2 linked regions of the Canis lupus familiaris genome follow. The protein of the gene in region 2 interacts with the protein of the main gene of each other region in a pairwise test. Links are inferred from orthologs where the notes say so. Each region holds a gene or a part of one and is shown on either strand. Other genes may lie near its edges.

Region 1 (4,395 bases), on a different chromosome or scaffold from region 2:
GCAAAAGGTATAAATAGGCAATTCTCAAATGAACAATAAAAATATGAAAAGACATTCACTCTTACTGCTAAGATAAGAAATACAAATATATAATGATAGGAAATTAATTTGGGGATGTTCATTAAAGATGTGAATATTGTGACATTACCTCTCACTGAGTTTTTAGTTATTTTCTTGTTTGGATTTCAATGTATTATCTAACCTTTTTTCAATGCATATCATTTTCACAAAATAAAACGTTATTTAAAAACTGCCATTACCCCATTTGTTGTTTGCAGAAAAATTAAGACCAACTGATCAGAGAACAGAATTCAGAACAGAGGGCAGCCCAGGTGGCTTAGCGGTTTAGCGCTGCCTTCAGCCCAGGGCGTGATCCTGGAGACCCGGAATCTAGTCTCACATCAGGCTCTCTGCATGGAGCCTGCTTCTCCCTCTGCCTGTATCTCTGCCTCTCTCTCTCTCTCTCTCTCTCTCTCTCTCTCTCTCCTCTCTCCCTCTCTCTGTGGGTGTCTCTCATGAATAAATGAATAGAATCTTAAAAAAAAAAGAATTCAGAACAGAACCAAGCAGTTTAATTAATATGATAAAGTGGTATTTCAAATAAGTGTGAGACAGAGAGACTATCAAATAAACAGTACAAAAAGCAGCTAGCTAATAAAAATATATTTTAAAAAATATCTGAATCAGTAAGTCATTGCTTACTTCAAAATACTATTTACTGATGGTACAAAATGAAACCACTATAGTACTATCAAAATATAAGAGCATTCATTACAAAAAAGTTTATCTATAATTTTAAATGAAAATAATAAAGTTGCAGAACAATATTTATGGCATAACCTCACTGATTTAAATTCTTGTTTCCATAGTATACGTTTTGATTAAAATTATGAAATGAAAGAATACACACATAGTTAAGTTTTATTCACCATTATATTATCATCCTCTACCACATGTGCCTGGCACAAAAAAATAACCAGTTGAATGACTAAATAAATGACTCTTAGGCATTGTTGGTAGGACTGTAAATTGTGATAACTTTTCTGGGGAGAAGTTTGGCAATATGTGTCAAAGAATAAAATGAACACACATTTTTTTCCAACACTCCCATTTCTAGGAATTCATCTTAGGTCTAATTTTCACAAATGCATATAGTAGGTATCCAGGGATAATTTTTTTATAATGGAAAAAAAGTATATGCTAGTGGAGAAATGGTGTGGAAAGGAGCTGCTCTACAACAGAAATCTGGTTAAATAAGTTACGCCAAATATTTCCATGGAATATGTATCTATTTTAAAATTAGATGTTGATCATTTACCATGAAAATATAGCTACAACTGATAAGTGAGCAGATTACAAAACATATGTTTTATTTAGAGAACAGTTTATATAAACAAGCCAGTGTGTAGATGCACAAAGAAATTTCTTGATGGAAATGTATCAAAATGCTAACAATGGTTATCATTTGGTTGTTAAGATTATGTTTTTTACCATCATTGTAATTTTCTATATTTTTTCTTTACAATGCTAATATATCTTGAAAATTAGAAATAAACAATAAAAGTAAATTTATTTACAAAATAGAAAAGTGTTCTCTAACTTTTTAAAAATATATGACTAAATGACAAAGCACAAATTCTATAAGAAGTAACACAAATGTTAATCAAACTTTAATATTTTTCTTCATTTGAAGTGATAATTCATCGTATTTTATATTTTAATTTATTGCTTGTATTCTATGAGTCGGTTTAGACACTGAATGTAATTAATCAGGCTATTTTATACATTAATATATCAAATCATCTCTATGGGTCTTTTTGCTTCCACAGAAATATCAAGATATCTCCTAACTAAATTTTTAAAAGACTGTAATAGAACCTGTGAATTTTTATTCAAATAAAGATAGGTAATTCTTGTCATTCATAAAAATGGTCTAAATATGTTTCTTACCTTTAATGAAAAGTAAACACTGGTCTTTTGGGTTGTACCAAGGGAGGTGTTCCGTAGCAGAAAAGAATCCTGTAAATAAAAATAACAGATACCTGTTTTTAAACTTCGTTTTACAAAAGTTTATTGACATATTCCTGGACTTGCAAATCATACTTTAGTGTGGCTGGAATATTACAATGTTAGAAGGAAATTGGTGGCAGATGACATTGTAAAGTATAACCTGACAGAGGGTGCACTTTCATCAGCACAAATACCCCCTCCCAGCCTGCTGTTCATGGAATTGAAAACTGCAGCACAGAAGTACAGAGCAAGCCGTCTGCTTTTAAATAATACTACCTAACTTTTGAATGCCTTGTACTTCACCTACAAGTTTGTTGCAAGCATTGAGAAAAGCTAGTGGCAAGTCAGCAGCAAGATTTAGGTATATATTATATGCCAGTTTAAAAAGAGAAATATAGCAAAAATGGTGTAACTGACTCACGGAAACATGAGTTCACAACCCCTGTCGATGGATATAAACCAGGCTTGCCAAACACGATAGCTAGTACTTATTAAAACTGACACGTGAATGCATTCTGCCTGCTTTCTAGCACCTTCCCCCTTTGCCAATAAACGACTCCCCTTTTTTCGCTAGTATAAAAATAAAGCTCAAGGATATTTAGATAAAGAGATTTTTTTTAAAATCACCCATAATCTACCCAATGATGCCATTTGGAGTATTTTCATCCAATTTTTTAGAAACAGATTTTTGTCAAGAGGCTCCTGACAAACCAAACGGGAATTCAGGATGAGATGATGGGAGAAAAATACTCCTCTTCCCTTGTTAGAAACCATGACTAATATTTTTACCTCATATTTAAGCTTGTTTTTGATTTATATAACTATAAAGATAGAATTTTCAGGGGAAATAAACGTTTTCCAACGGTGTGTGCCTCAGCTACCAAGGAGCGTCTGGGAAGGTGGGTGGAGCCTGGAGGGCGGCGGGTGCGTTCGGTCATTCATTAGGCTTAGAGCCTGTCAATCAAACTTGCCCAGCAAATGAGGCGCGATCTAAGGGCACACTGGGAACTAAATTAACGGCAGTTCTGACTGCAAGGGTGGGGGCTGGCGATCTAAACGCTGAAGAGATCTTGAAGTCTTACACTGTGCCATTAGGTGCAGCACGCCTCTGTCCGTCGCAGCTGCAGTGAGAGGCCTTGCCACCTCCACTCTCGCCCAGGCCTCTATTGTGGCTTCCACGTCTGCGCGATCACCGCAGCCCAACCCAGCCCCGCCCTGCGCTGTTACCTTCGCTGCTGCAACCTCCTCAGCCCCAGCCTCTGCCGCTACCCAAGCATACGTGAGTCATTTTCTGCCCATCTCTGAGCGCGCGGTCTCAGTGGTAGTCACCATATTAAGGGGTTTGCAGGTTTGCAAAATGGCAGAAGAGGATCTTAACATGGTCTCGGAACCTGCCGCCCAAAGGGTTACTGAAGAGAAGATGGCTAGCTCGTCTAGTGATTCTGGGGAAGAATCGGACAGCAATAGCTCTAGCAGCAGCACTAGTTGCAGCAGCAGCAGCGGCAGTGGCCGCAGCCGCTTATATAGAAAGAAGAGGGTATCTGGGCCTTCCAGAGGAGCACGGGGGGCTCCGCTGGGTAAAAGTTTTGTGGATCGGCTGCCTCAGGCAGTTAGAAATCGTGTGCAGGCTCTCAGAAATATTCAAGATGAATGTGACAAGGTTGACATCCTGTTCTTAAAGGCAATTCACGATCTCGAAAGAAAATATGCCGAACTCAATAAGCCTCTATACGATCGGCGATTTCAAATAATCAATGCAGAATATGAACCTACAGAAGAAGAATATGAATGGAATTCAGAGGATGAGGTGTTCAGCAGTGATGAGGAGGTGCAGGAAGACAGCCCTATTGAAATGCCTGCCTTAGAAAGTGAGCAGGAAGATGATAACCCTAAGGAAAAACCTCAGGTAAAGGCTGAAGAAAACGAGGTTCCAAAAGAAATTCCTGAGGCAAAGACTGAAGAAAACGCAGAATCTAAAGATTTTCTGGGTATAAAGCCTGAAGTGAAAGAAGAGCCTGAAGTAGTCCCCCAGCAAAATGCAGAAGATCAAAAACAGCCTAAAGCAGCAGAGGCTAAGGCAAAGGCTGCTGTAATAGAGGCTCCTAAAAGAATTTCTGAGGTCAGGCCTAAAGAAAGAGTAAATCTTAAAAGAGCTCGTAAGGGAAAGCCTAAAAAAGAAGATCCTAAAGGCTGACTGTTTTAAAGAATGTCGACAAGCTTGGGCCCATGATTCAGAAGTATGATGCCCCCATTTTGAAGTTCTTGTCAGATATTAGCCTAAAGTTCTCAAAACCTGGCCAGCCTATAAGCTACACGTTTGAATTTTATTTTCTACCTAATCCATACTTCAGAAATGAGATGCTGACCAAGACATATATAATAAAG
Region 2 (3,649 bases):
GAAGGTCAGAGGAGGAGAGAGTATCTCAAGCACACCCCCTGCTGAGCACAGAGCCCCCCATGTGGCCCCCCTTCATAGCCTTGAGATCATGACCTAAGCCAAAATCAAAAGTGGGACACTTATCTGACTAAGCCACCCAGGCACCCCAGCACTAGGTTGCATTATAATTTTGTTGATGGTTTCCTGCACAGTGCAAAAGCTTTTTGTTTTGGTATAGTACCAATTGTTTATTTTGCTTTTGTTTTCCTTGCCTGAGAAGACACATCTAGAAGAATGTCTCTAAGGCTGATGTCAGAGAAATTACTATGTTTTCTTTTAGGATATTTATGGTCTCAGGTCTCCCAGTTAAGTTTTTGTTGGTGTTTTTTTGTTTTGTTTTGTTTTGTTTTTTTAAGATTTCATTTATTCATGAGAGACATAGCGAGAGAGGCAGGCTCCATGCAAGGAGCCTGATGTAGGACTTGATCCCAGGATCACGCCCTGAGCCAAAGGCAGATGCTCAACTGCTGAGCTACCCTGGCGTCCCTCCCATTTAAGTTTTTAATCCATTTTGAGTTTAGTGTTGTATATGGTGTAAAAAAAAAAAGTCCAGTTTCTTTTTTTTTTTTTCATGTAACTGTACAGTTTCTCCAGCACCATTTATTGAAGAGTCTTTTACCTAATAGATATTCTTATTTCCTCTGTTGTAGATTAATTAATTAACCATATAAGCATGGGTTTATTTCTGGGCTTTCTGTTCTATTCCATGGACCTATGTGTCTTGTTTTTGTGCCACTTTTGATTACTACAGCTTTGTAGTATATCTCAAAATTGGGATTATGATACCTCCCGCTTTGTTGTTTCTCAAGTGTGCTTTGGCTGTTTGGAGTCTTTTGTGGGTTCTGTACAAAATTTTAACATTATTTGTTCTAGTTCTGTGAAAAATGTTGTTGGTATTTTCATAGGGATTGCATTGAGCCTATAGATTGCTTTGGGTAGTATGGACATTTTAACAATGTTAATTCTTCCAGTCCATAAAAATGATATATCTTTCCATTTATTTGTGTCATCTTCAATTTGTTTCATCAGTGTTCTGTAGTTTTTAGAGCATAGGTCTTTCACCTCAGTTAAATTTATTCCTAGGTGTTTCATTCTTTTTGGTGTAATTATAAATGGAATTATTTTCTTAATTTCTCTTCCTGCTACTTCATTATTAGTGTATAGAAACACAACTGATTTCCATATATTAATTTTGTATCCTGCAACTTTACTTATTACCTCTAATAGTTTTTTGTTGCAGTCTTTAGCATTTTCTTTGTATAGTATCATGTCATCTGCAAATAGTGATAGTTTTACTTCTTTCTTACCAATTTGGATGCCTTTTATTTCTTTTTCTTGTCTGACTGCTATGGCTCGGACTTACAGTACTATGTTGAATGAAAATAGCAAGAGTGGACATCTTGTCTTGCTTTTGATCTTAGAGGAAAAACTCTCAGTTTTCACTACTGAGTGTAATGTTAGCTGTGGGTTTTTCATATATGGCCTTTATTATTTTGAGGTATTTTCCCTCTAAGCCAGCTTTTTTGAGACTTTGTCATTGAAAGGATGTTGAATTTTGTCAAATGCTTTTTCTGCATTTATTGAGATGATCGTGTGATTTTTACCCTTTGTTAATGTAGTGTTTCATATTGATTTATGAATATTGAACCATCCTTGCATCCCTGGAATAAATCCCACCTGATAGTGGTGAATGATCCTTTTAGTGTATTGTTGAGTGTTTAATGTATTGTCAAATATGCCTGTATTTTTGTTGAGGATTTTTGCATCTTTGTTCATCAGGGATTTTGGCCTGTAGTTTTCTTCAGTGTCTTTGTTTTTGGTATTAGGGTATTGTTCACCTAACAGAATGTATTTGGAAGCTTTCCTTTCTCTTCTGTCTTTTAGAATATTTTGAGGAGAATAGGTATTAACTCTTTAAGTGTTTGATAGAATCACCATCTGGTCCTGGACTTTTTTGATTACCTTTTCAATTTCATTACTAGTGATTGGTTTATTTATACTTTCTATTTCTTCCTGTTTTGGAAGAGTGTGTGTTTCTAAAAATTTAACCTTTTCTTCTAGGTTGTCCAACTTATAAAAATGTCATTCTTAAATTCCACAGGGGTTCTTTTAAATTGTTATTTGTAGTTACTAAACTTGAACCTACTTTGCATTATTGTTGTAGAAGGAAGATCTTCTGGAGCCACAAGAACAGCTTCCCCCACCTCCTTTAACACCTCCCATTTCCCAGGTTGATGCTGCTATTGGATTACTAATGCCTCCTCTTCAGACCCCTGATAATCTCTCAGTTTTCTGTGACCACAACTATACTGTGGAGGATACAATGCACCAGAGAAAAAGGATTCATCAGCTAGAACAACAAGTTGAAAAACTCCGAAAGAAGCTCAAGACTGCACAGCAGAGATGCAGAAGACAAGAACGACAGCTTGAAAAATTAAAGGAGGTTGTTCACTTCCAGAAAGAGAAGGACGACATATCAGAAAGAGGTTATGTGATTTTGCCGAATGACTATTTTGAAATAGTTGAAGTGCCAGCATAAAAAAAAAAAGATATTTGTATTGGCTTTTAATGGGGCAACACCACACATCCTCTTCTAGCCTATAAAGGAGTTTCATTTGAAAAAATAACACTTGATTACTTGTATAAAAACAATTCAGAATATTTTTTTAAATAAATTAGATATATACTGTAAAATTGTAAAATTTTTGTTTCTAATTTCAGGGTTTTTACATTTTAACAAAATATCTTAAAAGTTAAAGACTAACCTCAGAACTCCAATATAAGTTGGTTTCAAATTGAGGAGTTTTGTTTTTTGGGTATTTATAGAAATGTAAAAATGAGAAATAAAGTGAATGTGAACAGTATAACAAGGACAATTTAAGTTTAAAATTTAAAATTAATGCAGGTTATTAAAGGAATTTAGTTACATTGTAAGTCAGAAGTATAGGTCAGATCACGAGATGTAACTTCTCAGAAAATATATATATTCTTATTCACATATTCTTATTTGTAAAGTCAGAAGATTTATCTTTCTTAATCACTTATCAAAAATAAGTTGACAAGTCAAAACTTCAAAAAATAAATTGGTTATCTTCAGAGCAGAAAATGAAGAGTCATTCTATACCTAGTCAATGTAGGTAAATAAGGATGAATCATTCTTTAAAAGTGGGTCTGCCTTTTTTCCCCACTAACATTATTAAACCAGAAGTGTATTTCCAGTGGAAGAGACATTCTTCAATAAAGTAGGCATTGTTATTAAACAAGTAATAAAAATGGGGGCCTGATCCATAGTATGCCTTTTTCTTTCATTACCCCCAAGCTTAAGGAGCATCTAGTTCCCAACTGTTGTTATATCTGTATACAAATCTCTAACAAATGTGTTGTGTCAGTAGAGTTTGATTTCTACTGTAATATGACCAATTGATTTTGGTCACATCTTCACATAAAAAAGGATTTCTTCACTTTTAACACAAGTTAGAAATTATATCCCATTTATTTAACCGAGTGATTTGTATTCCAAAGCAACCTAATATGTAGTGTTTGTTATTGAACGTTGAGATTTAAACACTGAAGTTTCTGTTCAAACTATGAGTTGTGTTCTGACGTGAGA

Evidence for each region.
Region 1: the proteins of THAP1 (region 2) and FAM133A interact in binary tests that used the Homo sapiens proteins (3 or more experiments, as listed by UniProt). The two-hybrid records come from large-scale screens. The link is inferred for Canis lupus familiaris from reciprocal best matches to the Homo sapiens genes THAP1 and FAM133A.

Annotation. Positions count from the first base shown.
Region 1 is NC_049260.1:69,481,874-69,486,268, reverse strand, and holds the start of FAM133A (protein FAM133A), read right to left. Parts: upstream 2,930-4,395; 5' UTR 2,800-2,929; intron 2,020-2,799; 5' UTR 1,951-2,019; intron 1-1,950.
Region 2 is NC_049237.1:23,681,876-23,685,524, forward strand, and holds part of THAP1 (THAP domain-containing protein 1), read left to right. Parts: intron 1-2,203; coding exon 2,204-2,578; 3' UTR 2,579-3,649. UniProt on the Homo sapiens protein: DNA-binding transcription regulator that regulates endothelial cell proliferation and G1/S cell-cycle progression.